4 linked regions of the Elephas maximus indicus genome follow. The protein of the gene in region 4 interacts with the protein of the main gene of each other region in a biochemical or structural test. Links are inferred from orthologs where the notes say so. Each region holds a gene or a part of one and is shown on either strand. Other genes may lie near its edges. The genes, in order: LIN9, BRF1, EID1 and RB1.

Evidence for each region.
Region 1: the proteins of RB1 (region 4) and LIN9 form a complex in vitro, tested with the Homo sapiens proteins (2 studies listed by BioGRID). The link is inferred for Elephas maximus indicus from reciprocal best matches to the Homo sapiens genes RB1 and LIN9.
Region 2: the proteins of RB1 (region 4) and BRF1 form a complex in vitro, tested with the Homo sapiens proteins (2 studies listed by BioGRID). The link is inferred for Elephas maximus indicus from reciprocal best matches to the Homo sapiens genes RB1 and BRF1.
Region 3: the proteins of RB1 (region 4) and EID1 form a complex in vitro, tested with the Homo sapiens proteins (5 studies listed by BioGRID). The link is inferred for Elephas maximus indicus from reciprocal best matches to the Homo sapiens genes RB1 and EID1.

Annotation. Positions count from the first base shown.
Region 1 is NC_064842.1:15,977,165-15,984,159, reverse strand, and holds the start of LIN9 (protein lin-9 homolog), read left to right. Parts: upstream 1-3,995; 5' UTR 3,996-4,088; coding exon 4,089-4,167; intron 4,168-6,995. UniProt on the Homo sapiens protein: Acts as a tumor suppressor. Inhibits DNA synthesis. Its ability to inhibit oncogenic transformation is mediated through its association with RB1. Plays a role in the expression of genes required for the G1/S transition.
Region 2 is NC_064828.1:119,542,376-119,549,752, forward strand, and holds the start of BRF1 (transcription factor IIIB 90 kDa subunit), read right to left. Parts: upstream 3,014-7,377; 5' UTR 2,964-3,013; coding exon 2,780-2,963; intron 1-2,779.
Region 3 is NC_064828.1:6,458,843-6,465,930, forward strand, and holds EID1 (EP300-interacting inhibitor of differentiation 1), read right to left. Parts: upstream 3,010-7,088; 5' UTR 2,927-3,009; coding exon 2,363-2,926; 3' UTR 163-2,362; downstream 1-162. UniProt on the Homo sapiens protein: Interacts with RB1 and EP300 and acts as a repressor of MYOD1 transactivation. Inhibits EP300 and CBP histone acetyltransferase activity.
Region 4 is NC_064832.1:30,645,446-30,653,217, forward strand, and holds the start of RB1 (retinoblastoma-associated protein), read right to left. Parts: upstream 3,008-7,772; 5' UTR 2,754-3,007; coding exon 2,566-2,753; intron 1-2,565. UniProt on the Homo sapiens protein: Tumor suppressor that is a key regulator of the G1/S transition of the cell cycle. The hypophosphorylated form binds transcription regulators of the E2F family, preventing transcription of E2F-responsive genes.

The sequences.
Region 1 (6,995 bases), on a different chromosome or scaffold from region 4:
GTCATTAAAAAGACAGGAGAGAAACAAAAGACCTAAATGGATGTCAGAAACTCTGAAACTTGCTCTTGGACATTGAATAGCTAATGCAAAATGAAAAAATGATGAAATAAAAGAGCTGAATAGAAGATTTAAAAGGGTGGCTCGAGAAGACAAAGTAAAGTATTATGATAACATGGGCAAAGACCTGGTGTCTTAGTCATCTAGTGCTGCCATAACAGAAATACCACAAGTGGATGGCTTTAACAAAGAGAAATTTGTTTTCTCACGGTAAAGTAGGCTAAAAGTCCAAATTCAAGGAATCAGCTCCAGGGAAAGGATTTCTTTGTCAGCTCTGGAAGAAGGTCCTTGTCCTCAATCCTCCCATGGTTGAGGAGCTTCTCAAGCACAGGGACCCCAGGTCCAAAGGTGGTGCTCTGCTCCTGGTGCTGCTTTCTTGGTGGTACGAGGTCCCCCACTCTCTGCTTGCTTCCCTTTCCTTTTATCTCTTGAGAGGGAAAAGGTGGTGCACGCCACACCCCAGGGAAACTCCCTTTACACTGATCAGGGAGGTGACCCCTGATCAATCCCACTCTAATTGCATTAACATAAAATTACAATCACAAAATGGAGGACAACCTCACAATACTGGGAATCATGGCCTAACCAAGTTGACACATATTTTTTGGGGGACACAACTTAATCCATGACACCTGGAGATAGAAAACCAAAAGGGAACACGTTCAGCATTTCTCAAGCTGAAAGAACTGAAGAAAAAGTTCAAGCCTTGAGTTGTAATACTGAAGGATTCTATAGGGAAAATATTAAATGACACAGGAAGCATCAAAAGAAGATGGAAGGAATACACAGAGTCACCATGTCAAAAAGAACTGGTCAACATTCAACCACTTCAGGAGGTACCACAGGAGCAGGAACCAATGGTACTGAAGAAAGAAGTCTAAGCTTAAGGCATTGGCGAAAAACAAGGCTCCAGGAATTGACAGAATACCACTTGAGATGCTTCAACAAACGGATGCAGCAATGGAAGTACTCACTTGGCTATGCCAAGAAATTTGGAAGACAGCTACCTGGTCCACTGACTGGAAGAGATTCATATTTATGTCTATTCCCAAGAAAGGTGAGCCAAACAAATGTGGAAATTATTAAACAGTATCATTAACATCATAACAAAACAAGTAAGTAAAATTTTGCTAAAGGTCATTCGAAAGCAGCTGCAGCAGTATATCGACAGGGAACTGCCAGAAATTCAAGCAGGATTCGAAAGAGGACGTGGAACCAGGGATATCATTGCTGATGTCAGATATCCGGATCCTGGCTGAAAGCAGAGAATACCAGAAGGATGTTAACCTATGTTTTATTAACTACGCTAAGGCATTAGACTGTGCAGATCATAGCAAATTATGGATAACATTGCAGAGAATGGGAGTTCCAGAACACTTAATTGTGCTCACGAGCAATCTGTACACAGATCAAGAGGTAGTCATTTGAACAGAACAAGGGCATACTGCATGGTTTAAAGTCAGGAAAGGTGTGTGTCAGCATTGTATCCTTTCACCATACCTATTCAATCCGTATGCTGAGCAAATAATCTGAGAAGCTGGACTACAGGAAGAAGAACAGGACATCAGGATTGGAGGAAGACTTATTAACAACCTGGAATAGGCAGATGACACAACCTTGTTTGCTGAAAGTGAAGAGGACTTGAAGTACTTACTGATGAAGATCAAAGACCACAGCCTTCAGTATGGATTACACCTCAACATAAAGAAAACAAAAATCCTCACAGCTGGACCAATAAGCAGTATCATGATAAATGGAGAAAAGATGGAGGTTGTCAAGGATTTCATTTTACTTGGATCCACAAGCAACACCCATGTAAGCAGCTGTCAAGAAATCAAAACAGGCATTGGGCAGATCTGCTGCAAAAGACCTCTTCATGTGTTGAAAAGGAAGAGGTCACCTTGAGGACTAAGGTGCACCTGACCCAAGCCATAGTGTTTTCAATTGCCTCATATGCATGAGAAAGCTGGACAATGAATAAAGAAGACTGAAGAACTGAGGACTTTGTGGTGTTAGAGAAAGAATACTGAATACACCATGGACTGCCAAAAGAACGAACAAATCTGTCTCGGAAGAAGAGCCAGAATGCTTCTTAGAAGCAAGGATGGCAGGACTACCTATCACATACTTTGCATATGTTATCAGGAGGGACTAGTCCCCAGAGAAGAACAACATGCTTGGCAGAGGGTCAGCGAAAAAGAGGAAGACCCTCAATGAGATTGATTGACACCGCGGCTGCAACAATGGGTTCAAGCATAGGAACAATTGCAAGGGTGGCGCAGCACCGGGCAGGATTTTGTTCTGTTGTGCATAGGGTAGCTATGAGTGGAAACCGACTCAAGGGCACTTAATGGCAACAATTTGAGAGGTGGAAGCTTCCTGTTCCTCCATCTCTGTTGATACTTCCTATTCAGTAGTAGCGGTAGCAGCAGCAGTAGCTAACGTTTGAGTCAAAACGAGTGCTACGTACTATTATAAAGGCTTTACATCTATGAAATCATTTAACCCTCACAACAACCCTGTTATTATCTGCATTTCACAGATGAGAAACTGAAGCATGGAGAACTAAATTAAGAAACTTGGTTCCAGATTACACAGCTAGCAGCCGGAATACCAACCCAGGCCTTCCAAACCTGTGCAGCCACTAGTACAGACATCTCTCTCCTCTCCTGTGCCTGCCCCAACAGGCTTCCTCCTGACTGGTTTCTAGGACTCTCATCTTGTCCCCTGCCAATCCATGTTCCATATTTTTGTTCTAAAACACAAATGGAACCATGCTACCAAAGACTTCTCTGCGTGCCTCCAGTGCTCTTGGCAAGTCCAACTCCTTAGCCTGGGCTGGCATTTGTGTACGATTCGGTCCTCATCTTGGTCTACCATTTTTTATTTCCTGGAATTCATCCATCCTGTATTTTCACTGTTTGTCTCCCTTCCTCCCCCACAACCTCCTTCCTCCAGAAGTTCCTGGAAAGGACTGGAGCTCGGTAACATTTAAGCGAATTGTTGAAAAGCAGCGGTGGTTTATCACTGGACAGTTTTACAGACAGGAATTGTGAAATCATTCTCTGGGCTTCTTTGAAAACGGTGAATCCTCATCCAGGAGTCTCTCCAAGTTTTGATCAGGGTACTCCATCACCTTGTAGTATCACTATTGGTTTCTGTCTGTATCCTCAGGAAACCTGTTATTCATGTTATTCGTGTTGTAACTCTCTCCCAGCTCGCTGTATGAGCCAGGGCAGAATGGATGAAGGCGCTGAGCAGAACGATTCGTAGGGGCCGGCCTAAACGATTAACTTCATGACCTCTCAAGGTCTCTCTCCTAGGCTCCGTGCAGCGCAGGTTCCAACAGTCGGGAGGAGGTCCCCGGCTCGAAGGGGGCCGCAGGGATCCCGAATTCTGGGCGGACACTGCGAGGCAGCTGCGGCCTGAGTGCACGAACCACTCCTCCGTAAAAAAGAGTGGATGAAGGCGCAGGAGAAATGTGGGTTTTGGGAACTCTGAAAAATACACTCCGAGTGGAGCCCCTCGGGCAACGTGACCGAGAACCAAGGGCTTCTCTGGCCACGCCAGGCCCACAGGTGCCTCCTCCCGGCCCCCGCCTCAGCCTGCCGGGGCCTCCCTCCCACCTTCCCTTGCTTTCCCCTCCTTGGAACACACAGCTTGCAGTTCCCGCGGCTGCAGCGCGAGACAAGAAACGCGCGCCGGGAGCGAGCCCCGGAGGGGGCGGGCGGCGCGGGCCAGGAGTGGGGCCCGGGCGGGACTCGGGAGCTCGCGCTGCTCCCCCCGCGCTCCGGCGCCGGGCCCGGGCAGGGGAGGTGCGCGACGGGCCTCTCCGCGCCATCTCCCTCCTCCCGCCCTCCGGCCCGGCCCGGGGCGCAGGCGGAGGGGCGAGGCGCGGCCCCACCTCCCGGGGCAGGCGCGGGCGGAGCCCGGCCCACCTCAGCCCGCCGCGGCGGGAGCAGCGCGGAGCGGCGCCGAGGGCAGCGAGCTCGCATTCGAACCTCCCTCGCAAAGACAGTCTCCGCCCCACAATGCACCGCGGCGGGCAGCCTTTGAAAAAGCGGCGCGGCTCGTTCAAGATGGCGGAGCTCGACCAGTTGCCTGACGAGAGTGAGTAGCACCTCAAAACACCCCCCCTTCTTCCTCCCGGCCGCCCGCCCCGAAGCTTTCCGGCCAGGAGGGGCCGCCGTGCCCTCCGCCGGAGGGGGGACTGACTGCCAGCCCCACCGTAGTCCTCCTAGTCCCTCCACTCCGGTGTTGCCGCCGTGTCGCCGCCTTTGTTATGGTGTCTGTGTGTAGGTTTCTGGGGTTGTGTGAGCGCCAGGGCCGGAAACCGAAAGCTCAGGAGTCCAGCCTATGCCGGGAGGAGGCGGCGGCTGCTCCCCTGGCCGGACTCGGGCCACCCGGCCGAGGTGGAGGAAGAGCGGCCCCGGTGCGCGGGGGCTGCCCTCGCCGCCTGCACCAGTCACCGGGCGCGGAGAGACGCCTGCCGGGGTTATGTAACTCGCCTGTCCCGGGGCCGGGGAGGGTTCGCGCTCGGGAGGGGGTGGTCACAACCCCGGCTTCTTGCCTCAGCCTCTGATCTTGTCCCGTCTTAGTTCCTGCCTCTATGGGCACTTGTGATCGTCCCTGTCCCTCCTCCCCACCGGTGTGTCCACCTCTAGAAGTGTTTCCGTGTCAAGAGGCTAGCCCCTTCCCCTGGGACCACAGGTGGCTGTGGACCCTTCCAGAGGTAATCCAGACTGGATACACAAGCATTCAGGTAGCCTCCATCCCACAGACTTTCCTCTGTGTGTGTGTGTGTGTGTCCTTAAGAGTCATGGGAGTACCTTGTACACAGGGATGTGACCAACACAGCATACATATAGTACTCTTCCTGACACCCGCCCCTGTGCAGGGCTCACTAACCATGACTACTCTGCCATCCATGGGATCTCTGCAACATACCAGCTCACATGTGTTTACTAAGTAAAAGCACCAACTCCATAGTTCAAAGCACAGTGGAACTTCATTTTGTAATTTTAAAAATCGCACAAGTTATGTAAAAAGGCAAGTATTTTAGCAAAGTACAAAAAAGGTCCTGAGTCCACACTCATTATTCAGTTTATGTGTATGTATCATTCGTCAGAGTTTTAGTATAATAAAAAGAAGGCTCAATCACTGTAAAATCATTTGTGAAAAAGGCAAATAGGCTTAAAATGAGAGCTATATACAGCCAATTCTGTTTTCTTTATGGGGTTGTATATCCTTAATGCGCTATAAAGTAAATAAAAAGCTCAAGTTGTAGTGAAAAGTTGTATTAAAAAGAGTTTGTGTTTTTAATTTGCTCTAGATCAGCGCTAAGTTCCAATAGAACTTTCTCAGTGATGGAAATGTTCTATTCTGTGATGTTCAATAGGGTAGCCACTAGTGACATGTGGTTATGGAGTACTTGAAATGTGGCTAGAGGGACTGAGGAGCTGAATTTTAAATTGTTTAATTAAGCTTAAATAGTCACATGTGGATAGTAGCTCTAGCCTGTTTGTGAGTTTTGTTTCTTGATTGGAGAATACAGTTCATTGTGACTTAGGATGCTACCAAGTAAGAATGGGCCTACTAAGCACAACCTAGTTCTTATCTGGAAAAAGTTTTTTTTTTTTTTTCTTTCCATCCTCATCATCTTTACTGTAAAGATGACTTACCCCTTTTAGAATTTTTCTTTTTTTGGTAGTCATTCTGTTGAATAAGAGGTATTGTAAGTGGCTTTCAGTATACCTCTCATTTGGAATATTTTGCTTCATCTACATCATCAAATATTTATTGAGGACTTCCTATTGTTCTTTGAAGGAACCTGGGAGTCATGTCGTTGTTAGGTGCCATCTAGTTGACTAGTTGATTTTGACTCATTGCGACCCCATGTGACAGAGTAGAACTGCCTCATAGAGTTTTCTAGGCTGCAATCTTTATGGGAACAGATTGCAGCTCCACTCTCAAGCTGTATGACCTGATCATTTTTATTAGTTTGTGACATCTCTGGTATATTGTGTGTATGTGTTGTATAACTTGTTGAAAGCAGGGATTGCCTTACCTGGTTTGTCACACTGCCCTGAATCAAGTATACAGAAGCACCTCATTTATATGAAGAGGCATTATTAATGAAACCGGGCAGGGTCTTGAGAAAGAAAAGAGATTTCGGTTTGATACTGGAAATAACAAGTTTCTTTGCCAAGTTTAGGCAAGGCGACTAATAAAAAATATATTAGCTTAAAAAAAAAAACCATTGCCCCTGAGTTCATTCCAATTCATAGGGACCCTACTGGACAGAGTAGAACTGCCTCCTAGGGTTTCCAAGGAGCGCCTGGTGCATTTGAACTGCCGACCTTTTGGTTAGCAGCCGTAGCTCATAACCACTACACCACCAGGTATTAGCTAATAACCAACATAAAATTACCAACAATAAATGCTGCCATTGAGTACTTGCTGGGTACCGACACTATGCAAAGCATTTTACATATATTTGTTTAACCTTATTTCACTTGAGGTAAGTACTTTTTTAAGAGTTTGATTTTCTGTATGAGGGAACTGAGGCTATCTTCAGCCCAGATCTTTCCTCTAAGCTCTTGCACTTAACATCTGTTACCTATTTCACATCTTCTCTTAGATGCCTCAAAGGCCCCTCAAACTTCACAGGTTCAAAATATAACTCATAACCCCACTCCAGGACAGAGATAATTTTAGTGGTTTCTCTCTTAATGAAAGCTCTTTTATTTATCTGGTAGAGGTCATCTTTGGCACTTCCCCCTTTCACTTCCCATATTTAAGCCTTTACTGTAACTTTTACCTTTTAAATGTCTCTCAAATCTACCTACTTTTCACCATCAGCCTAGCCCAAATTGTCACCATCTCATCTGATCACTTCAGCCTTCAATTAATCCAACTCTTCCAGGCACCGTGCACAC
Region 2 (7,377 bases), on a different chromosome or scaffold from region 4:
ACAACATGACTATCTACACAGAAAACTCCCAAGGGATCAAAAATTTTAAAATAAAAAAAACCTCCAAGAACTAATAAGTTTAGCAAAGTCACGGGTAATAAGATCAACACACAAAAATCAACCTATTTCTATATACTACTAAAAAAAAGCAGCAGATAATTGAAAATTGAAATTTTTAAAAAGTATCACTTACAATAGCTCCAAATAAATGTTGGGTATAAATCTAAAATAAAGTACAGAAAACAAGACGCGTAATACTGACGAAAGAATTGGCACTGAGCAATGGAACAGCGTAGAGAGCCCCGAAGTAAACCCCCACAAATATGGCCCGTTGATTTTTACCAAAGGAACAAAAGTAATCCAATGGAGAAAGAATTAGTCTTCTCAACAGATGATGATGGAACAACTGGACATCCATATGGAGCAGCTCTACTCCGACACACATGGGGTCGCTGTGAGATGGAATCAACTTGACACCAACTAACAACAACATACGACAAAAATGAACCTCAGCCTACACCCCACATCTTATACAAATATTAACTCAAAATGGATCATAGATCTAAAAAAGTAAAACTTAAAGCTGTAAAACTTTTAGAAGAAAATCTCTGTGACTTTGGGCTTAAGCAAAGACTACTTAGATGTGACACCAAAAGCGCTATTCATAAAAGAAAAAAAAAATGGGACTGCATGAAAATTAAAAACTTCTGCTCTGCAAAAGACAGTTAAGATTTGCAAACCGCATATCCAACAAAAAACTCGTAACTAGAATATATGAAGAACTCTCAAAACTCAACCTTAAGAAAACAAAAAACAATTAAAAAATGGGCGAAAGACTTGAACAGACATCTCACCAAAAAGGATAGCGGTGGTGGTGGCTGTTAGCTGCCATCGACGGAACAAAGAGCTGCCCAGTCCTACACCATCCCCACCATCGGCTGTGAACCGAGCTGTTGTCATCCACAGGATTTTCATTAGCTGATTTCTGGAAGCAGACGGCCAGGCTTTTTTTCCTCGCCCACATCAGCCTGGGCGCTCCATTCTGGAAACCTGCTCAGCATCCTAGCAACACGAAATCCCCACTGACAGACAGGTGCTGGCTGTGCATAAGGTGTCCTGGCCGGGTCTCCCACATGGAAGGCAAGAATTCTACCACTGAACCACCAATGCTCATCAAAACCACGAAGGGACGATAAACCAGCACGTGCAAAGACGGCCGACATCGCTAGCCGCTAGGGAAATGTACACCAGAGCCATGACGGGATCCCCTGACACACCTACTCCTGTTAGCTGCCATCGAGTTGGGCCGACTCATGGCCACCCCATGTGTTGAGAGGAGAACTGCACCACAGGGTTTTGGTCTTCACCGAACCATATTACCAGGCCTTTTCTTCCATGAAGCTGCTGGGTGGGTTGAAATCACCAACCTTTTGGTTGGCATTTGATGGCAAACCACTTGCACCACCCAGGCTCCTATACACATGAACTCGTTGCCATCGAGTCGATCCTGACTCACGGTGACCCTACAGGACAGAGTAAAACTGCCTCATAGGGTTTCCAAGGAGTGGCTGGTAGATTTGAACTGGTGACCTTTTGGTTAGCAGCCATAGCTATTAACCACTGCACCACCAGGGCTCCTCTATACACATTACAATGGCTAAAACAAAAAAATATTGACAATACCCTGTGGAAAAAACAGTGCTACCGGTGAGAATGCAAAATGCCACAACCACTTTGGAAACGTTTGACAGTTTCTCGTAAAGTTAAATACCTACATACAGGTATACACAGATTGCCAGGCCTTTCTTCCCAGGCACCTCTGGACTAGAACCTCCAGCCTTTCAGTTTGCAGCCTCGTGCACTAACCATTTAGACCACCCCAGGATTCTCACACCAGCGAAAGTTACTATTCAGAAACAAAAAGGACCAACTGCTGATGCACACAACCTGGGTGACTCTCAAAGGCACCGGGCTCAGTAAAAGAGACCAATCCCAAAAGACTGCATGCTGCCTGATTCCATTTAAAAGACAAAACTGTAGGATGGAGAACCGATCAGGGTAGGGCTTGGAGAAGGGAGAGACGATAAGGGGACAGCAGGAGCTGGGGTGGGGGTGACGGGACTTTTCCTTATCCTCATTGCGGTGGTTACCAGAACCTAGAAATAAATGTGTTAAAACTCACGGAACTCTATACCAAAATAAACTCGATTTTACTGTATATCAATTAAAAAAAAAAACTCACAGGCTCATATCCACTGTGTCCCAGGCCACAGTTTTCTCCTCTTCCTGTAAAGCCAGAGTTACACAAGCATAGGGTTTAAAGGGCCCAAGGGGCGTCGGGCTCCAGGAGGCTCCTCACCTAAAGCAGCGGTGCCCTCGCACCCACGTCCCACTCCCGGCGCTGGGGGCACGTACCTCAGCTTCTCCCAGCCACCAGCCCATGGCACCGCTCGTGCGCCTGCCCGTCGGGTCGTCCCCACCTCCCGTCCCCGTGACTGTCACGGCCCCCGGCGGCGCGCGCTCCCCTTGTCCGCGCAACTTCTGCGCTGGGACCGGCTCCGTCCGGTCCCCTCCGCCTGCGCTCCGGCCGCGGCCCTCGCCCCGGGTCCCCGCCCCGCAGCCCCTCCGGCCGCCGCTGCGCCCTCGCGGCGCCAGGTGCCCCGCAGACGCCCGGGGGTGTCGGGCCTGCCATCGCGCGGGCCGGGTCCGGGGTCCCGCGGAGCCTCGGGGGCCGCCCAGCCGCCCTGCCCAGCCGCCCCGCCGCCCGCCCGGGACGCACCGTCCAGGGACACGAACTGGCCCACGGCCGAGGAGCCTCCGCCGCTGTTCTCCACGAACTGCACCTCGGACACGATGATGTTGTCCTCGAGCACCGAGCCGCAGCCGGTGCACACGGCGTCCCCGCGCGCCGCGTCAAACTCGATGTCGGTGCCGCCGCACCCGCGGCACACGCGGCCCGTCATGCCGGCAGCCCCCGGAGCCCGGCTCGCCGCCGCCGCCCGCAGGCCGCCCGCCAGGCCCGCCGCGCGCCCCCGACGCCCGGCAGTCTCGCGAGGCTCCCGCGCCGCCGCCGCCGCCGCCGCCGCGCCCGCCGATTCGCAGCGGCAGATTCGCCGCGCGCCCCGGGGCCGAGACGGCCACACCCGGGAGGCGGGGACGCGCTCGGAGCCGGGGGCCGAGACGGGGACACAAAGACTCGAACCCGTGACCTTCGAGCCCGAGCGCGGCCGCCGGGCCTCAGACCCACAGGCCAGTCGAGCCAGCGGCCGACGCGCTAGCGTTGGGGGAAGGAGGGAGGCGGGCTGCGGGGCGGGGCCTCCGGGGGCGGGACTTCATTGGGACCGGGTGGACAGCGGTGGGCGGGGACCTTAGCGGGATGGGCGGAGTCTGGGGAGCGGCGCCTGGTTTTGACTGGGCAGATAGTGGTGGGCGGGGCCTTGGGGTGGGACGGGGTGTCGGGAGAAGTGGGCGTGGCCTTTGAGTGACGAGCAAGCTGAACGACAGGAGAGCCAGTGGTGGGCGGGGCCTTGAGGTGGCAGGCCGGACTTGTGAGGACCCGGCCCGTCCGAAACCAGCGGCGCGCTGTGGACGCAGCCTGGACGGGGGCGTGGCGTGATGGAGGGGCCGGCGGACGGAGCGTGGCGGGCGGGGCCCTGGAGTGACAGGCGGGACCGGGCCAGGAAGGGGAGTGGTGGGCGTGGCCTGACGGGGACGGGAGCGTGGTGGGCAGGACCTGGATAGGTGGGCGGGACGGGCTGGTGGGCGGGGCCGGGGAGTTGCTCCTCCCCGGGGAGACCTCGGAGACCCCGGTCCGAGGGCGCCACCCCGCAGCTGCAGCTCCTGCGCCTCCTGGCGGTGCCTGCGCGGCCGCCCGGTCAGCGAGCCGGCATTGCACCTGGGACTCGCGGGCTCCTGGTCACCTGCCCAGAGTGGACCCTGCTCGACGCACGCCCGCAAATACCTGCGCGTTCCTTCCACAGGAGCCACAAAACCCAGGGAGTTCCTGGGAATGAACCCAAACAGAAGTGTGCAAAGCTACATTTTTTTAAGTCTCTAAAGCTTCATTAGAGAACATACAGAAGATGAGACAAAATCGGAAAAACGCCCCTTCCCAGCTCCAAACAAAGCTATAACATCGGAAGTTCTTCCCAAGTCAGTTTATAAAATCGATGTAAGCCGTCATAATGTCAACAGGATTTTTCAAAGACCTCGATGAACTGATGATAAATTCATCTGAAAGAGGTCATCTCCAAGAACAGTCAAAAATATTCTCAAAGAGAAAACTCAAGAAGGGGAGAATTGCCCTTCTGTATATCAAAAAATATACGTCACCTGGTAGCAATCAAAAGCACGTGGTATTTGTACAGGGCAAGTAGAGTAAAACAAAGAATCCAGCAACAAACCCAGGTATTTTTTTATGGAGTCATTGGAGCCCTGGTGGCGCGGTGGTTAAAAGCTATGGCCGCTAACCAGAAGGTCAGCAGTTTGAATCCACCAGCTACTCCTTGGAAGCCCTATGGGGTCGCTATGAGTCAGAATTGACCGGATGGCAGTGGGTTTGGTGGAGTCATCGCGACCCCATGTGTGTCAGAGTCAAACTGTGCTCCACAGGGTTGTCAATGACTGATTTTCAGAAGTAAGTTGCCAGGCCTTTCTTCCAAGATGCCTCTGGGTAGACTTGGACCTTCAACCTTTCGGTTAACAGCTGAGCATGTTCACTGTTTGCACCACACAGGGACGCCACCTGGAAATTGGGAGGCCTCAAATCGGGGAGGAAAAGACATACTCTTGAATAGTGTTGGGACACTGACTTTCCATTTGGAGGGGAAGGGTAAATTGAATCCTTACCTCACGCAGTCCAAAAATAAAAAATGCCAGTGACATTAGGAGCTAAAAGCAAAAAACAAAATGACAGGTTTGACAATGAAATGTAAGAGAATATTTTAAATCCCCAACGGATATTTGTCACGAGGGGGTGCTGCATCTGAGCCCCTTCCTGAGAGTGCAGCCTCTGCCCCCTGCTAATGCCAGGTCCCAGCCACCCTCATGCAGGGTTTGGGTGGGCAAGGAAGTGAGGCCAGAAAATGTGTGCCGGTGGGCCATAAAACCAAGCAATGCCACCCAGGAGGCTGAAACCAGGAGAGATTCTCTGCTTTGAATAAGCCTAAACTAATGGCTTTTTCTTCTTTTTTATTCTTTAGTAAAATATTTACAGCATACCTTAAAGTAGAGGGAAAATAGGAAAATAACAAATGTGGTTTGACAGATCCCTTTTGTATGGCCTTTCTCGCTGTGGTCTTGTAACCCCCACCCACTATCAACAATTATGAGGGTGCCACAGGATCAGTGTTTTGTTCTGCTGTACATGGGGTTATGGGGTTGCTATGAGCTGGCAGCTAGAAACAACAACAGTTTCAAAGGGAGATTCTGACCCTGGAGCAGAATAAATCTCTGACCTCAGAGAAAAGAAATGTTACTATTCACCCCTGAGGCATTGAGGAAGTTGTAGGCAGCAAAAGTGGCCTGTGCTGCTACCTTCCATGTCTCTGTGATCTCTGTGAAGAGTCCAAACACAGACCCTCATCTCTGCTTCACAACCAGGTCCACTTGAGGAAGAAGCAGAGGAGGTAGCTTATAACCAGTGTGCCACCAGGGCTCCAACAACTCTATAGCAAGTGGCCAGTGACTGGGTGGGACTGTGCAAATAGGGTAATTGTGACCCACCAAAGGAATTAGGCAGTTTTGCCATCCTGCTAGGCTTAAAAGAGGACCGATGACTCAAGAGGGGGAGAGCAAGTGGGAGTAGGGAGTGAGGTGTATGTAAACTTATATGTGACAGACTGATTGGATTTGTAAACGTTCACTTGAAGCTTAATAAAAGTTATTAAAAAAAAAAAAAAAAAGAGGACCAACTCCGGAGCAGAATAAGGATCTCACCACCACCTAGGAAGAAGAGCCAGGAGCGGAGCAAGTCCTTTGGACCTAGGATCACTGCAAGGAGAAGCTACTGGAACCAGACCGAGAGAGAGAGAGAGAGACCTGTAACGTGGCACTTGGTGGGGCTAGGTTTGCTGACCCAGGAACCAGAGATGAGCACCGTCAGGACGAGGGTTCCCGGCGGAGTGGGATTCCTTGGGATACTTATCAGCAGAGCTAAAAGAGCTTTGTAACACTTGTTTGAGCAGGGCAGAGGCCAAGGGGCCAGAGGGATGCCTGCCTGCGGGCACGGCTGAGAAGGGTCTGTCCTGAAGGAAGAACTGTATGCTGAGGATTCTTGGACCTGAATCGTAACCTGTTGCTTCCCTAGTAAACCCGCTAACTGTGAGTACAGTCTGTGAGTTCCCGTAACCTGTCGCTTCCTTAGTAAACCTGCTAACTTACTGTGAGTTCCGTGTGGGTGTTGCAATGGATTATTGAACCCGGCAGAGAAGCAGAGTGTGCCATGGGGGATACGGTTGGTGTCAGAATCGGTAAAGATGGCAGAGAGAAGAGGCATGTCTGACCTCCACCTCATAGGAATCAGCCTTGGGCTGTTGATCTTGACTCTCCTTTCCCCTTATGAAGTTAGAGGAGGTCAGACGCTGCCCCCATGCCATTTATACACCAAAAGTACCATCATTAGTATCTTAGTTATCTAGTGCTGCTATAACATAAATACCACAAGTGGACAGTGTCTCAGTCACCTAGTGCTGCTATAACAGAAATACCACAAGTGGACGGTATCTTAGTCACCTAGTGCTGCTATAACATAAATACCACAAGTGGACAGTGTCTCAGTCACCTAGTGCTGCTATAACAGAAATACCATAAGTGGATGGCTTTAACAAAGAGAAATTTATTCTCTCACAGTCTAGGAGGCTAGAAGTCCAAATTCAGTGTGTCAGCTCCAGGGGAAGGTTTTCTCTCTCCGTTGGCTCTAGGGGAAGGTCCTTGTGGTCAGTCTCCCCCAGTTGAGGAGCTTCTCAGCTCAGGGACCCAAGGTCCAAAGGATGCCCTATGCTCCCAGTGCTGCTTTCTTGGTGGTATGAGATACTCCTGTCTCTCTGCTCAATTCTCTCTTTTATATCACAAAAGAGATTGACTTAAGACACTGTCTAATCTTGTAGATTGAGTCGTGCCTTATTAACATAACTGCTGCTAATCCCACCTCATTAACTTCATAGAGAGAGGATTTACAACACAGGAAAATCACATCAGATGACAAAATGGTGGACAATCACACAATACTGGGAATCATGGACTAGCCAAGTCGACACACATTATTTTGGGGGACACAGTTCAATCTGTGATGCTCGGCTATATCAAAATTTAGCATTTTCCCGTATTTGTAATTTGGTTATACATAGATATAGATACAGATGCGATATAGCTGTAGAT
Region 3 (7,088 bases), on a different chromosome or scaffold from region 4:
GCTCTACTCTGTCCTGTAGTGTTGCTAGGAGTCAGAATCGGCTTGAATAGGTTATGGATAGGTGTAGAAAACCCTCCCCAAATCATATTATGCACTCATAAGGTTGTCCGAGTTCCTTCCACCCACTCCGTCCCCCAAATCAGGACCATGGTTTCCTCAGAACACCTTTAATTTCCATTAAATGGCCAATTTATAAGGTACATGCAATTATTACACCCATATTCAGTTAAGGACTTTAAAGTAGAGAAATAACTTACCCAGTTACAGACCCAGTAAGTAGTGGGGCCCAAATTTGAACCAAGTACTCTGATTCCAGTCTGTGAGAACTCCAAAATTTAAAAGAAATGTGATTTTTACACCCCTAAAAGGGGCGTTAAAATGTTGCCATTTTCCATCTTCAGTAAATATTAATCATTTTCAGTGGTCTCTCAGGTTACTTCCTATTTTTAAAACCACTAACCAGTTGCAGAGCCCAGGTCTTTCTTCTTAAGCTGTCTTCAAACTCAACAGGGAATGTGGGTTTTCTCCCCATCCTCCTTGCTCCCTGCTCAGTCTGAGAGGGAAAAAGAAGCATAACCTCCCAGTTCGCACAGCTGTTTTTTCCTGAGCCTTTATTTGGAGGTAAATGCAACTGGCGTTTATTGTGTACTGCCATTCTTTTTTTTTTTTTTCAGAGCACTGTTAATTTATATTGCGTAATCATTTACAGATGCATTTGACTGCAGCTACAGGCTATTTGAGAAAGCAGTGGAAGAGCTGAGAGGCAGCAGGATTAAAATGTATAAACGCCAATGTTTTACCTCCTGTCTGTCCCCTCTCCTTACCCCACCAGGCTACTGTTTGAGTGATCGTGACCATCCTTACTTAATGGTCAGTCTTATATTTTACAGAAAAGAACCCCCTTCCCAAAGAACAGGGTGACTAACATAAATAAAGCCGAGTTGTCCTGTGGTACTGGACGTGCCTTTATCGCTCTAGTGAAGCGGGAACATCAGGTAATTTTACTAGTCATCACAGAGCCTGCTGATCCTGTTTTTACTGGGTGCAGCCTTCTAACAGTTTTTCCTCCTGGAACTTCAGGATCTTAATAAACACAGCAGCATGCTCACTGACACTGCAGGTTTTCCTAGGTTGGCAATACTTAATTTACTCAGTTTGCTTTCCACAACTTAATCTGTGCATCAGGTATCTGAAGCTGGATGCTTTCCCTTATAAATACTGGTTAAATTTAAATCATTAAGTGGTTGCAGTAATTCATACAATAAAAAGTGCAATACTATTAGCCAAACAAAGTACACAGAACAAGAAATTTTATTATCTGGAATGCTGGTGCATTACAAATAACAAGCTTAATTAGAGGAGGAGAGAGAGGGAAACCTCAGATACTGAAGTGGATTTCTGGGCAGGTTTAAAACCTTTAGAAGATTAATAACATAATTGTTCAATTTTTTTAGATGTACAACTTTCCTCTTACGTTACAATTTGCACCCACAGTTCTTATAGTATTAATTTCAACTAAAATCTTTTGCCTGTTAAGTGAGAGAGGAACAAAACAGAAATTTCCCCTGTGTATAAGAGTGTTAGAAATTATTTTTTTGTACTTTCAGTAACATACTGTCTAAAATTGTTAATGAAAGAGGTCTTAATTTTTTACCGTTTAAAGTGGTCACGACATGGATTTTCTTGTATAGACCATCGTAGCTTTATAAATGATCAAGATACATATATAAACAAAATTAAGATGCTCTGGAAACACATTTAAAGATACAGCACATGTGATATTTTTGGATTTGCTCATCTTTTTGAGATACTGAAAACAACTCAATTTATGTTACAGTAATAATTTAGCGTTTGATAACTACGACTTGAATAGGTCACAAAATCAGAATTTTCAAAGTTTTCTCAATAGGCTTCCAGTCCAAATAATTCAAAGACATCTTGTGTCCCACGCTGGACATTTTCGTTGTTCTTTCTCATCAGACAGGTACTATCAGTGGGCTCTTTTACTGGCAGTTCGTCTTGGTCATTCCCTGTTCTTGCAAAGCCATCCCTTGCTGTGCAGCCGATATGAAAGCTATTTTCCCAACACAAGGGAAACAATCTGGATTAATAGCAAAGTCAAAGGCATGGGTGTTTCGGGGCATTCTTGAAAACATTTCTCAACAGTCCGCAGGCCCTTCCTTCTTGGCGATTCTCTTCGTTTCTCACAACTGTGCAGTCACTGTCCTATCCTCTTCTACAAAATGAACACAATGTTTTTTGTTTTTGAAGATCAAGTGTTGCATTGGCACGGAGCTATTTCGAATGAACCCAAAAAATAATGGGATGCTGGGTCTCTCCTCCCTCTTCCACCAGCCTTTGCTTACTCCCTATCGATCATCTCATCACAGCCGAGTTCCTCGGTCAGACGATTGACAACCATCAGGGAAAAGAGCTCTTCGATAAACGCCAACTGATCAAACGGGGTCTTCTCGTACTGCACCTGAAACCCGCCGTCCAGGGCGGCCTCCCTGGCTCCGGACGTTCGCAGGAACAGCTTGTTGGCTTCTTCCAGGGCCGCCGACACCCTGTAGCCGGCACCCCGGAGCTGCTGCTCCTCGGGGTAGTCGTAGTCGTCCTCCCAGTCGTCCAGTTCCTCGCCCTCGTCCCCGCTCTCCCCGTCGGCGGCCGCCGGCCCGGGCTGCTCCCCGCCGCCGCGCCCGCCCGCCAGGCCCGCCGCCCCGGCCATCGGCGGGGCCTCCCCCTCCTCCATCGGGCCTTCCTCCTCCAGCTGCGGCACGGCCCCGGGGCGGGCGGGGCTCGGCGACGGCTCGCGGCTCCCGCTGCCTACCTCCATCTGCGGAGGGTCGCTGTCGCCAGACATCACGTCCATCTGCAGGTCAGGGCTCTCCTCGTACAGCTCGGACAGCTCGGACATCTCCGCCATGATTGCAGCCGCTCACACGCTAGCCAAGCGTCCCCAGCGAGCGCGGAGAGACGCGGCGCTGCGCTTGCGCAAACGCTCTGCGGGTGCGTAGCCCCGTACGCATGCGCGGCTCTGCGGCTGCCGCCTCCGCCTGGGGCGCTGCTGGGGTGGGGGCCGCTGGCGGGTCTTCGGAGACAACGTTGGGAGTCCGAGCGGCCTGACGTCTGCGCGTCGGTGGATTCGAACTTCACACCGAGAGACTGTGCGTGCAGGGGCACGACTGTCTTTGCCCTGCTTAGCCGTTCCGCCGCTTGTGGTGCTGCGGAGTTGAACGCCCCGCTGCCTTCGTGACAGCACTTCACCCTCCTCCCGCTCTTCCCCCCGCTCCTCCGGCGTCTCCTCCTCCCAACCCCCGTCCCCAGGCAATCACAGCTGTTCTCAAGGGTTCGCGGCCTTGGGTTTAAGCGCCACATTTCACACAGACACGCAGACACACAGACACACACCCCGTGGAGTCGATCCGACTCCTACTTCTCCAAGCTAGACTGTATTCTCGACCACTGATCTAGCTTATGTATGCGTTCTGCTTTTCTGTTTTCGTCACTTAAAAATACCTTAAATTCACAAAGAGTAAGTACCTGTGTATTGGGTTTTCCCTAAGTACCACTGAAGAAAAATTCATCGTCGTTTTCTCCAGGAGGTAACTTTCTACGAATATCAATTCGGTGTGTGTTCTTCCAATCCACTTTTTGCATGTATATGGATCTTTATGTCCCTTTGGAGAATATATTATTTTCTATGTGTGTGCGTTTTTACATATTTCACGTAACGTCCTCTAAAAAAGCCTGGACAATTTAGCTTCGTCAGTATGCGTACACATACCACTTTATTTTTGCACAGCATTCTATTGGATAGATATGCTATACTTGACCTAACAATGGGCAAATATTTTTAGATTTTTTAAAATATTATAACCATTTATCCAATGTGCCAGTGTTTCCCTAGAGTCAATACCTAGGAGTGGAAAGGCAGTATTGTAGGGTATGTATAAATCAGTTGCTATAGTAGAGTTGATTTTGATTTGTGGCCGCCCAGTGTGTGTCAGAGTAGACCTGTACTCCACTGAGTTGTTTTTTTTTTTTTTTGATTGTGCTTTAAGTGAAAGTTTACAGCTCAAATTAGTTTCTCATACAAAAATTTATACACACATTGTTCTGTGACCCGTCTAATGTGTCACACACTCCTCCTTGCCACCCCGGCTTTCCTGTGTCCGTTCAACCAGCTGCCATCTCTTTCTGCCTTCTCATCTCGCCTCTGGAAAGGAGTTGCCCGTTTAGTCTCCTGTATCTACTTGAACTAAGAAGCACTTTCTTCACAGCAATCATTTTATGTCCTAGAGTCCAGTCTGATCTTTGCATGAAGGTTTGGCTTCAGGAATGATTTTAGTTCTAGGTTAACAGTCCAGGGGCCCTGTTTTCCGGGGTTCCTCCAGTCTCAGTCAGATCTTTTTAGGTGGATTTGAGTTCAGCACCCTGCCTTTCTCCGGCTCCCTCAGGAACTCTCTGTTGTGTTCCCTGTCAGGGCAGTCATTGGTGGTAACTGGGCACCACCTAGTTCTTCTGGCCTTAGGCTGATAGCATCTCTGGGTTATGTGGCCCTTTTGTCTCTTGGGCTAATATTTTCCTAGTGTCTTTGTTGTTCTTCATCTTTCTTTGCTCTATGTGGGTTGGGATCAATTGATGCATCTTAGATGGCTGCTCATAAGCTTTTAAGACCCCAGACGCCACTCACCAAACTGGAATGCAGAACATTTTCTTAATAAACTTGGTTATGCAACTAGATGTGCCCTGAAACCATGGCCCTACACCCCTGTCCCTGATACTCTCTCCTTCAGAGTGTTGGGTTGTATTCAGGAAACTTCGTAGCTTTTGTTTCAGTCCAGTGTGCTGATTTGCCTTGTATTGTGTGTTGTCCTTCCCTTCAGCTAAGATAATTCTTGTCGGTTTTGGTGGTTTACTATCTAGTTAGTGAATACCTCTCTCCCTCCGCCCCTCCAGCCATCGAAGAATGTTTTCTTCTGTTTAAACCTTTTCTTGGTTTCTTAAAATAGTGGTCTCATACAATATTTGCCCTTTTGTGACTAATTTCACTTAGCATAATACCTTCCAGATTCATCCATATTATGTTTCACAGATCCATCATTGTTCTTTATCGTTGCATGGTATTCCATTGTGTGAATGTGCCATAATTTGATGGGCGCCTAGGTTGTTTCCATCTTTTTGCTATTGTGAACGGTGCTGCAGTGAACACGGGTGTGCATAAATCTATTCCTGTGACAGCTTTTATTTCTCTAGGATATATTCTAAGGAGTGGAATTGCTGGGTTGTATGGTATTTCTAGCTTTTGAAGGAAGCGCCAAATTGATTTTCAAAGTGGTTGTACCATTTTACATTCACACCAGCAGTGTGTAAGTGTTCCAGTCTCTCCACAACCTCTCCAACATTTATTATTTTGCATTTTTTTGAGTTAATGCTAGCCTTGTTGGTATGAGATGGTTTCTCATTGTAGTTTTGATTTGCATTTATCTAATAGTTAATGATCGTGAGCATTTCTTCGTGTATCTGTGAGCTGCCTGAATATCTTCTTTAGTGAAGTGCCTGTTCATATCCTTTGCCCATTTTTTAATTGGGTGATTTGTCTTTTTGTAGTTGAGGTTTTGCAGTATCTTGTAGATTTTAAAGATTAGATGATGATGGGAATTTTCATAGCTGAAAATTTTTTCCCAGTCTGTAGGTAGTCTTTTTATTCTTTTGGTGAAGTCTTTTTTTTCTCAGTTATCTAGTTTTTCTTCTGGTGTTTGTGCATTGCTAGTAATGTTTTATGTTCTGTTTATGTCATGTGCCATGGCTCCTAGCATTGTCCCTATTTTTTTCTTCCGTGATCTTTATCGTTTTAGATTTTATATTTAGGTCTTTGATACATTTCGAGTTAGTTTTTGTGCATGGTGTAAGGTATGAGTCTTGTTTCATTTTTTTGCTGGTGAATATCCAGTTGTGCCAGCACCATTTGTTAAAGAGACTGTGTTTTCCCCATTTAAGGGACTTTGGGCTTTTGTCAAGTTTTAGCTACTCAGAGGTGAAAGAATTTACATCTGGATTCTCAATTCTGTTCCATTGGTCTATGTATCCATTGTTGTACCAGTACCAGGCTGTTTTTACTACCGTGGCGATGTAATAGGTTCTGAAATCAGGTAGTGTGAGGCCTCCCACTTTGTTCTTCTTCTTCAGTAATGCTTTACTTATCCAGGGCCTTTTCCCTTTCCATATAAGGCTGGTGATTTGTTTCTCCATTTCATCAAAAAATGTCGTTGGAATTTGGATGGCAGTTGCATCGTGTTTGTAGATGGCTCTGGGTAGAACTGATGTTTTCACAATATTGAGTCTTCCTATCTATAAGGGTCGCTATGAGTCAGAATCAACTCGAGGGCACTGGATACTGGGTATCTATAAGCAAGGTATGTTTTTCCACTTATATAGGGCTCTTTTGGTTTCTTGCAGTAATGTCTTGTAGTTTTCTTTGTGTAGGTCATTTACTTCTCTCATTAGATTTATTCCTAAGTATTTTATCCTCTTGGGGGCTACTGTAAATAGTATTGATTTGGTGATTTCCTCTTTGAAGTTCTCTTTGTTGATGTAGAGGAATCCAACTTATTTTTGTGTGTTTATCTTGTATCCCAACACTTTGCTGAAGTCTGGTTTTAGTTCCAGTAGTTTTCTTGTGGATTCCTTGGGGTTTTCTGTGTGTACGATCAGATAGTTTTACTTCTTCCTTACCAATTTGGATGCCCTTTATGTCTTTTTCTAGCCTAATTGCTCTGGCTGGGACCTCCAACACAATGGTGAAAAAGAGTGGTGATAAAGGGCATCCTTGTCTGGTTTCATGTTCTCAAGGGGAATGCTTTTATACTGTCTCCATTTAGGATGATGTTGGCTGTTGGCTTTGTATAAATGCCCTTTGTTATGTTGAGGAATTTCCCTTCTGTTCCTGTTTTGCTGAGAGTTTTTATCATGAATGGGTGTTGGACTTTGTCAAATGCCTTTTCTGCATCAATTGATAAGATGATGTGGTTCTTGTCTTTTGTTTTATTTATGTGATGGATTACATTAATTGTTTTTCTAATGTT
Region 4 (7,772 bases):
AACTACCTGTATTTACTATGACCCTGTAGAAAGTCCTTAAATGTCATGGTTTCACTGAATTTCCACATCAGCCTTACCATGTAAGGACCCTTATCATCCTTGTTTTACCGAAGAATAAACGAAATCAGAGAAGTTAAAGCATTCACCTGAGCTCACTGCCAGTACTAAGTGGTAAGCCAGGATATGAACCCAACAGTCTAACTCCATAATCCACGCTCTTGACCACTACTCTATACTGCCAGCTCCTTTTTCAAAACATAATTAACATCTGATAACCTCAACAATGAAGGTGGTATGCTGTTCCTAGTGACAGTTTCCCTTCCAGCCTCATCATTTAAAAACCCTTTGCCATCGAGTCGATTCCAACTCATAGCGACCCTATAGGACAGAGTAGAACTGCCCCATAGAGTTTCCAAGGAGCGCCTGGTGGATTCAAACTGCCAAACTTTTGGTTAGCAGCTGTAGCATTTAATCACTAGGCCACCAGGGTTTCCACCACATCATTTAGGCCAGAGATAAATGCAACAGAATGTGATCTCAACTCTCTGGGCAGAAATGGTTCTTGCTGGGAATGCAGTTAGAGCTGAGCCCTGAATCCATCCCTAAGCAGGTTACTCAGCCTCAGGTTACTCAGCCTCAGATTGCCAGGCTGTGGTCCTACCCTTGCTAAATTGTTAATCTGTAGAGTCTGATTGAAGATGCTAAGGAATCCATTGTGAGTACGGATAATCAAAGGCAGACTGTATTTTGCATGGCTTTGAAGTACAAGGGTTTGAGTTCCCAAAGAATTTTTTATCATTCCATCACTTAAAGGTATATAAAATAATGTGTTGGGGAAAAAAGAATGAAAGAAACAAATTTCTTCTTTTCCCAGGTGATGGTCAGAACTTCAATATTTCTAATTATCACAAAATAATCAAGAATGCTTTCAAAGTTATATGGATAACACTGAATTTTTTAAAGTAAATACTACTGCTCTTGCCAAAGAATAGTTTTCAGGTATTGGGCACATTAGAGTTTAATCAAAAACTAAAGTGTGATGTCTTCTTCCAAAACATCCCCCAGGCCTGTTTTTTGTTTTGTTTTTTACTAAGCTGTTAAGTCGATTTCCTGACTCATGGCAACTGCATGTGTGTCTGAGTAGACCTGTGCTCCATAGCATTTTCATCAGCTAATTTTTTGCAAGTAAATCATCCGATTAGCAGCCAAGCCATTAACCGTTTGCACCACCCAAGGATTTTTTTTTAAACTAGTAGGTATGATTTTCAGTTAACCCATATGACAGTTCATTCAAATATATGAATTTTTAATATCCTTCCACAGGTCATTTCAATCTTTTACAATTTGGCCTGAACTCTGTTAGTGGCTGGGAAGTGGAAAGATATGTACAATTCAGTGAGGGTAAAACAGAACTTGGTGATGGACCAGAATGGAAGAAGGAATGGTGAGGGAAGAAAGCAGTCCCATTCCCCTACGATGGATCTGTATACAAAGAGCCTGAAAGAGAACCAGTGCTGACAATAAGGAATAAGGACAAATATGCACTTTTCAGTCTTAGCTAGTTAACCGTAAAGTATCACAATCCAGAAAAATAAAATGTTGCAATCCAACAAATAGCTCTTTGTCATATTCTACCGCATCCACACGGCTTGCTTAAATTTAGATTTCACTTAGGGGGGGAAAAAAAAAGTTCGATGTTAGCACAAGAGCATCGCCAATTTTTTACCAAAAACAAACAGAACAAAACAAAGAAACAAGCGTCACCAAGATCCCTGATTGTAAAGTCAAAAAACAAAATGGAAGAAATAATGGCACATGCTGAGGCAGACTAACCTGCAAGGAGTTTTATCCAAAAGGAAAAAAAAGAAGTTTAGAAACTTTTAGGCACTTACACTAAATTGCCTCACAAAACTTGCCCAGTTCCTCTAAAGCATTCTGTTTCGCCAGTTACTACAGCTGGCTTTGAACCCCAAGGCCTCAAAGCACCCTGTGGACAACCGGCACCCAGGACCCTGCGCTAAGGTCCGATGGCGTCTCCTGCAGCGGCGTCCAAGGCGTTTCTGGTCGGCCTCTCGCAGCATGGGGCTTTGGATGCAGTGCACACCCAGAAGCGAACACTTGGAACTCTTGCGTCGCAGAAGACCAAACAGAAAGCCAAAGAGCACGGGAGTACTACCAATTTAACAAGAACAAAACTCGCTTCCTCTTCAACACACGCGCGTCAGTCATTTTTTGCATTTGATGGGAGCTCGAAATGACCCGCCGCCTCCAGCCTCCGATCTAGCACCTGTCACTTCGCTCAGCCAACCGAGCCCCACCCGCCCAACACCTGTCAACCTGGAGCCGCGACCCCTCCTGGCTGTCCTCCCCTCGCTCCGGATCCCGGAGCCCTGTCACCCTCCTCCAGACCCTCCGCGGTGGTGGGGGGCAAGGAGGGACCCTCTTTCGCCGGGACCGGGATCCGGGGCAAAGACGCGCCCCCGCCTAGATGCCGCGGCGCCGGTCCCGAAGCCCCCTCGGCTCCCTTCCTGCGTTCGCTCTGCGGGGGCGGCTCTGCTCACTCACCTGGCCAGAGGTAGGTCCTCGGAGCCACTGTCGTGCTCCGGATCCTCCTGGAGAGGGGGCGGTGGCGGCGGCGCCGGGGGTTCCACAGAGGCGGCGGCAGCCGCAGCAGCAGCCGCAGCCGCAGCCGCAGCGGCAGCGGCAGCGGCAGCGGCGGCAGCGGCCGCTCTTCGGGGAGTTTTGGGCGGCATGACGCCCTCACAGGGTAGGAGCCAGCGAGCTGTGGAGGAGGGCAGGGCCGGGGGACGCGCGCACACGTCGGGGCACGCCCCGTCCTCTCTCGACTCCCGTTACAAAAATAATTTGAAGGTCCCCTGAGAAAAACCGGACAAGCCCTCCCCGCCCGGCAACCGAGCGCCGCGTCCAACCGCGGGAAAACGTCACTTCCGCCCGCGGCGTCACGTCCGCGAGGCTCCCGGGCCAGCCGGCGTCTGGCGGGCACCGGGGCGCCTGGCAGCGCGCGGGCGGGGGCGCAGGGACGAGCGGGGCTGGCCGGGAGACCAGGCCTGGCGGAGGCGCCCTCCCTGAGGTAGCCGCCGCTGCTGGGACCTGTTTCTACCTGTAGCTCTCCTTCCAGGCTGAGGTGCCCGTAATAGGGCAACAAAAAGAGTCTGTGGGGCAAAATTGGGCCCCATCTCTGTCATCTCTGTCTTTGGGTCTGATCAGGGACTGTCACTCAGGTCCTGTAAGTTCTATCAGGCAAGCGCACCCTACACTGTCACGCCTCCTCTCTCCATGGGCGGTACCCTCCCTCTTCTGAGACCTCGCCCACCCAATCCGTTAAGCCAGTCTACCAAAACAAAAACACCGCCGATTATCCCTTTAGCAAACGTTTCTGGAACACCTAATCGGTGCTCCAGTTTACCAAGCACTGGGGGAAACAAAATGTAGGACAATTATTGGCCTTTTGGGGATCACTGGTTAGGGTAGGGAGGGGGCTGTGGGTAATGAACAAGTAAACAGTTTATAAACTGTTTATAAACGTTAAAAATAAGATTTTGTATCAATTCAAAAGAATAACAATATTTGATTGGTCTATGATTTAACAAACAATTTTCAAATTGGGAGAACATTCTCTTCCTGCAAGAAGAAACTCCCAGAGAATGGAGATTTCACAGAGACTTAAAAATTTTTGTTTGATAAATACAAGTTTCCACTGTGATGAAATAATGATTACTGAGTTAACTTACATATTTATAGTTGAGAGCTCTTGAAATTAAAATCAAGGAAGCACACAGTCTTTTTCATTAAATCACAAGGTGATTGATTTCTTATTGACTGCTGTCTTCTAGCTGGGGGGATAAACAAGTTTAACCATGCTGCAAAGTTGAAGTTGGGGTGAAAGAACAAGCCAGTGAAGCTGCAGGCAAGATCAGTTTTGGGTCAAGTATTTTTATACTTGCGGGTGTGTGTGTGGGTAAGAGAAATTTCTTAAAGTAAAATGTCTATTTTTAATTAATTTTTTTGAGTCTTAATGGTGGTGTAAAGTCAGGAGGAACCATTGAAATGTGTAAAAGAGATCTTCAGAGGAGAAGTAGCAGTTGAATAGAAGTTTGCCAGCTTGATCTAAAATTTAAGGAAGACTTGCTGGATCCCAGGAAATGTGCTGGCCACTTTACATAATTATCTCATTTAATCTTCAGAAACAACCTTTTAAAATGGATAGTATTATTCACTTTTCAGATGAGGCTCAGAGGACTTAATTAATTTTCCCAATATCACAGATCTGATGAGCAGAGGACTTGAACCTAGGTAATTTTGCTATGACTTATCTGTTACATTATACTGGTGAAGAAAACACCAAAAAGAGAGAAATAGCATGTGTACAGGCACAAAATCAACAGAAGAAAAGCTTTCTGGAGGTATCGCCGCCAAACATTGGCTTAGAAGCTGTATCTTTTCTGTCTCCTGGTATTGATTTATTATAATTGATTTTCTAGTTTTAGCACATGTTTTTCTTCCTTTGGCAGATACTTTTGATTGCCCATCTCAGAACTTCCCAACTGAAGTACTTTGAATAAAGTATAGTTGTGCTCTGATGTACATTCCCTCATTCTTGGAAAGCTGGGCAGCATGTGAGGCAGCAGGAGCCTTCAGGTAAGTCATAGATGCAAGTCTCGTGAGTTTATCCCAGTGAGTAGTGCAATGGATTATCATTTTCTGTGTAGACCATGACATGTGCCACAATGTAAAAAAGGTTAGCAAGCATTGGCCTACCCAACACACAGTCCCCCCGGATCCTACCTTGGGGGCCAAGACTTTGTCAGGAGGTAGGGCCCAGGCCACTGAGAGTGAATACAATTAAAATGGTAGTCCCATTCATCTTGCCCACAACTAGTTTAGGCAGCAGATCAGGATACAGTTTGACCTTTTAAAGATGAAAGGTGATAATATTCTGGAAGGCTGATAAAATGGGATACAGAGATGACAGCTCTTCTACTCCTTAGCTGTTGTCATAAGGATATGACACTTGTAGTTGCTGTAGCCATTGTGACCTATGCAGCAGACCGGAGGATAAGGCAAAAATGCTGGGGACAGGGCAGTAGGAATATCAAAAGAAAATAATCTGGGTCCTTGGTGACATAACTTAGCTTCTGATTTGAACACCCTGGAGCTGAATTGCATGATTGTTTGCAGCAGAAAGCATCATGACTGATAATATTTCTGCTGTGAATTACTTCAGGATAGAGACCAAATCTCAGGCATTTTTGTAGCCTTAGTACTGAGCACAGTATTGGACACACAGTAGATACTTATTTGTTAAAAATGAGAGTGGAGAGCATAGGTAGGAGAACTGAAGGAAGTTCTGGGAACTGAAGTAAACTCTCCCCACATATGTAGACTTGCTCTATTTAAACCCAGTTTACATCAACATCTGGATTTACCACAATTATAATAAGTCAAAGAGAGGTTTCTCCATTTACAAAAGGATGTGTATCTTTGCCTTGGACTCCTTTTACCATGTTTCTGAGTAGCTTTAAGATATGATTTCCTCACACACAACTCAGAAGTACTTGAGTAAATAAAATCATTACACAGCTTTCTGTTGTACTACAAAGAAGTGTTAGAGGTTCTATAGATTATTAAAAGAAGTTTTCTCAAGTGACGGAGTAGCAGGGGCAGGGGCCTGGATCCATGGTTTCTGGGGACATCTTGGTCAATTGGCATAACAAAATTTATTAAGAAAATGTTCTGCATCCCACTTCGGTGAGTGGCATCTTAAAAGCTTGCTAGCAGCCATCTAAGATGCATCATTTGGTCCCAACCCACCTGGAGCAAAGGAGAATGAAGAACGCCAAAGGTACAAGGAAAATGTTAGCCCAAGGGACAAAAGGGCCACATAAACCAGAGATTTTATCAGCCTTAGATCAGAAGAATTAGATGGTGCCTGGTTGCCATCAGTGACTGCCCTGACAGGGAACACAATGGAGAGTCCCTGACGGAGCAGGAGAAAAGGAGATGTAGAACTCAGATTCACATAAAAAGACCAGACTTAATGGTCTGACTGAGACTAGAGGAACCCCCGAAGCCATGGCCCCTGGACTTCTCTGTTAACCCTGAACTAAAACCATTCTTGAAGCCAACTCTTCAGACAAAAATTAGACCGGACTATAAAACATAAAATAATACTCAAAGAGTTTTACTTCTTAGTTCAAGTAGATACATGGGACTAAATGGGCAGCTCCTGTTGGAAGGCAGGATGAGAAGGCAGAAAGGGATAGGAACTGGTTGAATGGACAGCAACCCCATAGGACAGAGTAGAACTGCCCCATAGGGTTTCCAAGGAGCACCTGGTGGATTCGTACTGTCAACCTTTTGATTTGCAACTGTAGCTCTTAACCACTGTGCTACCAGGGCTCCTTACTGCACAAGATGATGATAAATACAGAAATTAAGAGTGCTTAGAAATGTTTATGACAATTTGACATGTCAGCAACATCCAAGAACATGATCATTGGACATCTGTTGCTAAGCATATAGCTAAGCAAGAGTATAGTCCAGTTCAGGTGTTCTCCAATTTATGTGGTGAGTTGCAGGTGGTAGGGCTGTGTCCTTGTCATGCATAGTAGGACCACATTTACGATGAGTAAAATTTTAAGGTTAGCTTGTCAATTGTAATCCAAAGTGTTAAAAATCCATGAAGATGTAAATATTTATTCATTTTTATAAGTTGTTTTTATAGTCATTTTAATTTTTAATCAAGCCTCTTTTTTTTATTTATATATAGCTAAATTAGGGAAGTAAAATTTGTGTCATTTATTTTTAACCCTAAATCGTAGATGATGAAACAAGCCTCATTGGCCTGTTTTGTCAAGAAAAGACAGATGTCACTAGTGGATTAATACTACCAGTAGTAAACCAAATAATGATCAGAGAAGTCATTCCAAAGAATTAGAGCTAAGAGTTTATATTAATTTTACTCAGAAATATAATCCCCTGTCTGTTCAGTCTGTAGCCATAACTTTTGGTTAAGTACTAAAACCATGGACTGATTAATGAAGCAATGAATCCATCAAACTTAAGGGACATTTACATACAAAATATAAAGAAAATATTATCATAAATATGATAAAACATTTTGATTTTGATTCTCCATCAAAGTAATCACCACACACAGGAAATTCATGGATCCAGAATTTAAATGTAACTGTAACTTTACAGGGCAAATTTTTGGAACTCACTACTGATGAAGGACTGGAGATGAATTTTGAAAATAAAGCATCTCTTGTTTCATTTTGGATAGAAATTAAAAATGAATGTCCTGAACTTGCTGAAATTGCCTTAAAATCTCTTATTCCACTCCCTTCAACATGCCTTTGAGAGACTGGCTTCTCTACTTGAGTGTTATCAGAATAAAACATAGAAGCAGTTTAGATATACTGCTAGATATATCTAAACCTAGATTAGGTAATTTAACAAGCAAGAAGCACACTCATTTGTCATGTTAAAAACTTTAAATATTGACGTACAAACACTGTATAGCAGTTAGTATGGGAAATTGCTACTTCTCTCCCAACTTCTTGTTTAGAAAGGTCCCTGCATGGCACAGATAGTTTCCAGTTGGCCAGTAACCAAAACGTTGGCATTTTGAACCCACCTGGAGCACCACCACAGAAGAAACAGGCCTGGTAATCTGCTTCCTTAAAGATTGCAGCCAAGAAAACCCTATGAAGCAGTTCTACTCTGTAACACATGGGGTCTCCTAAGTC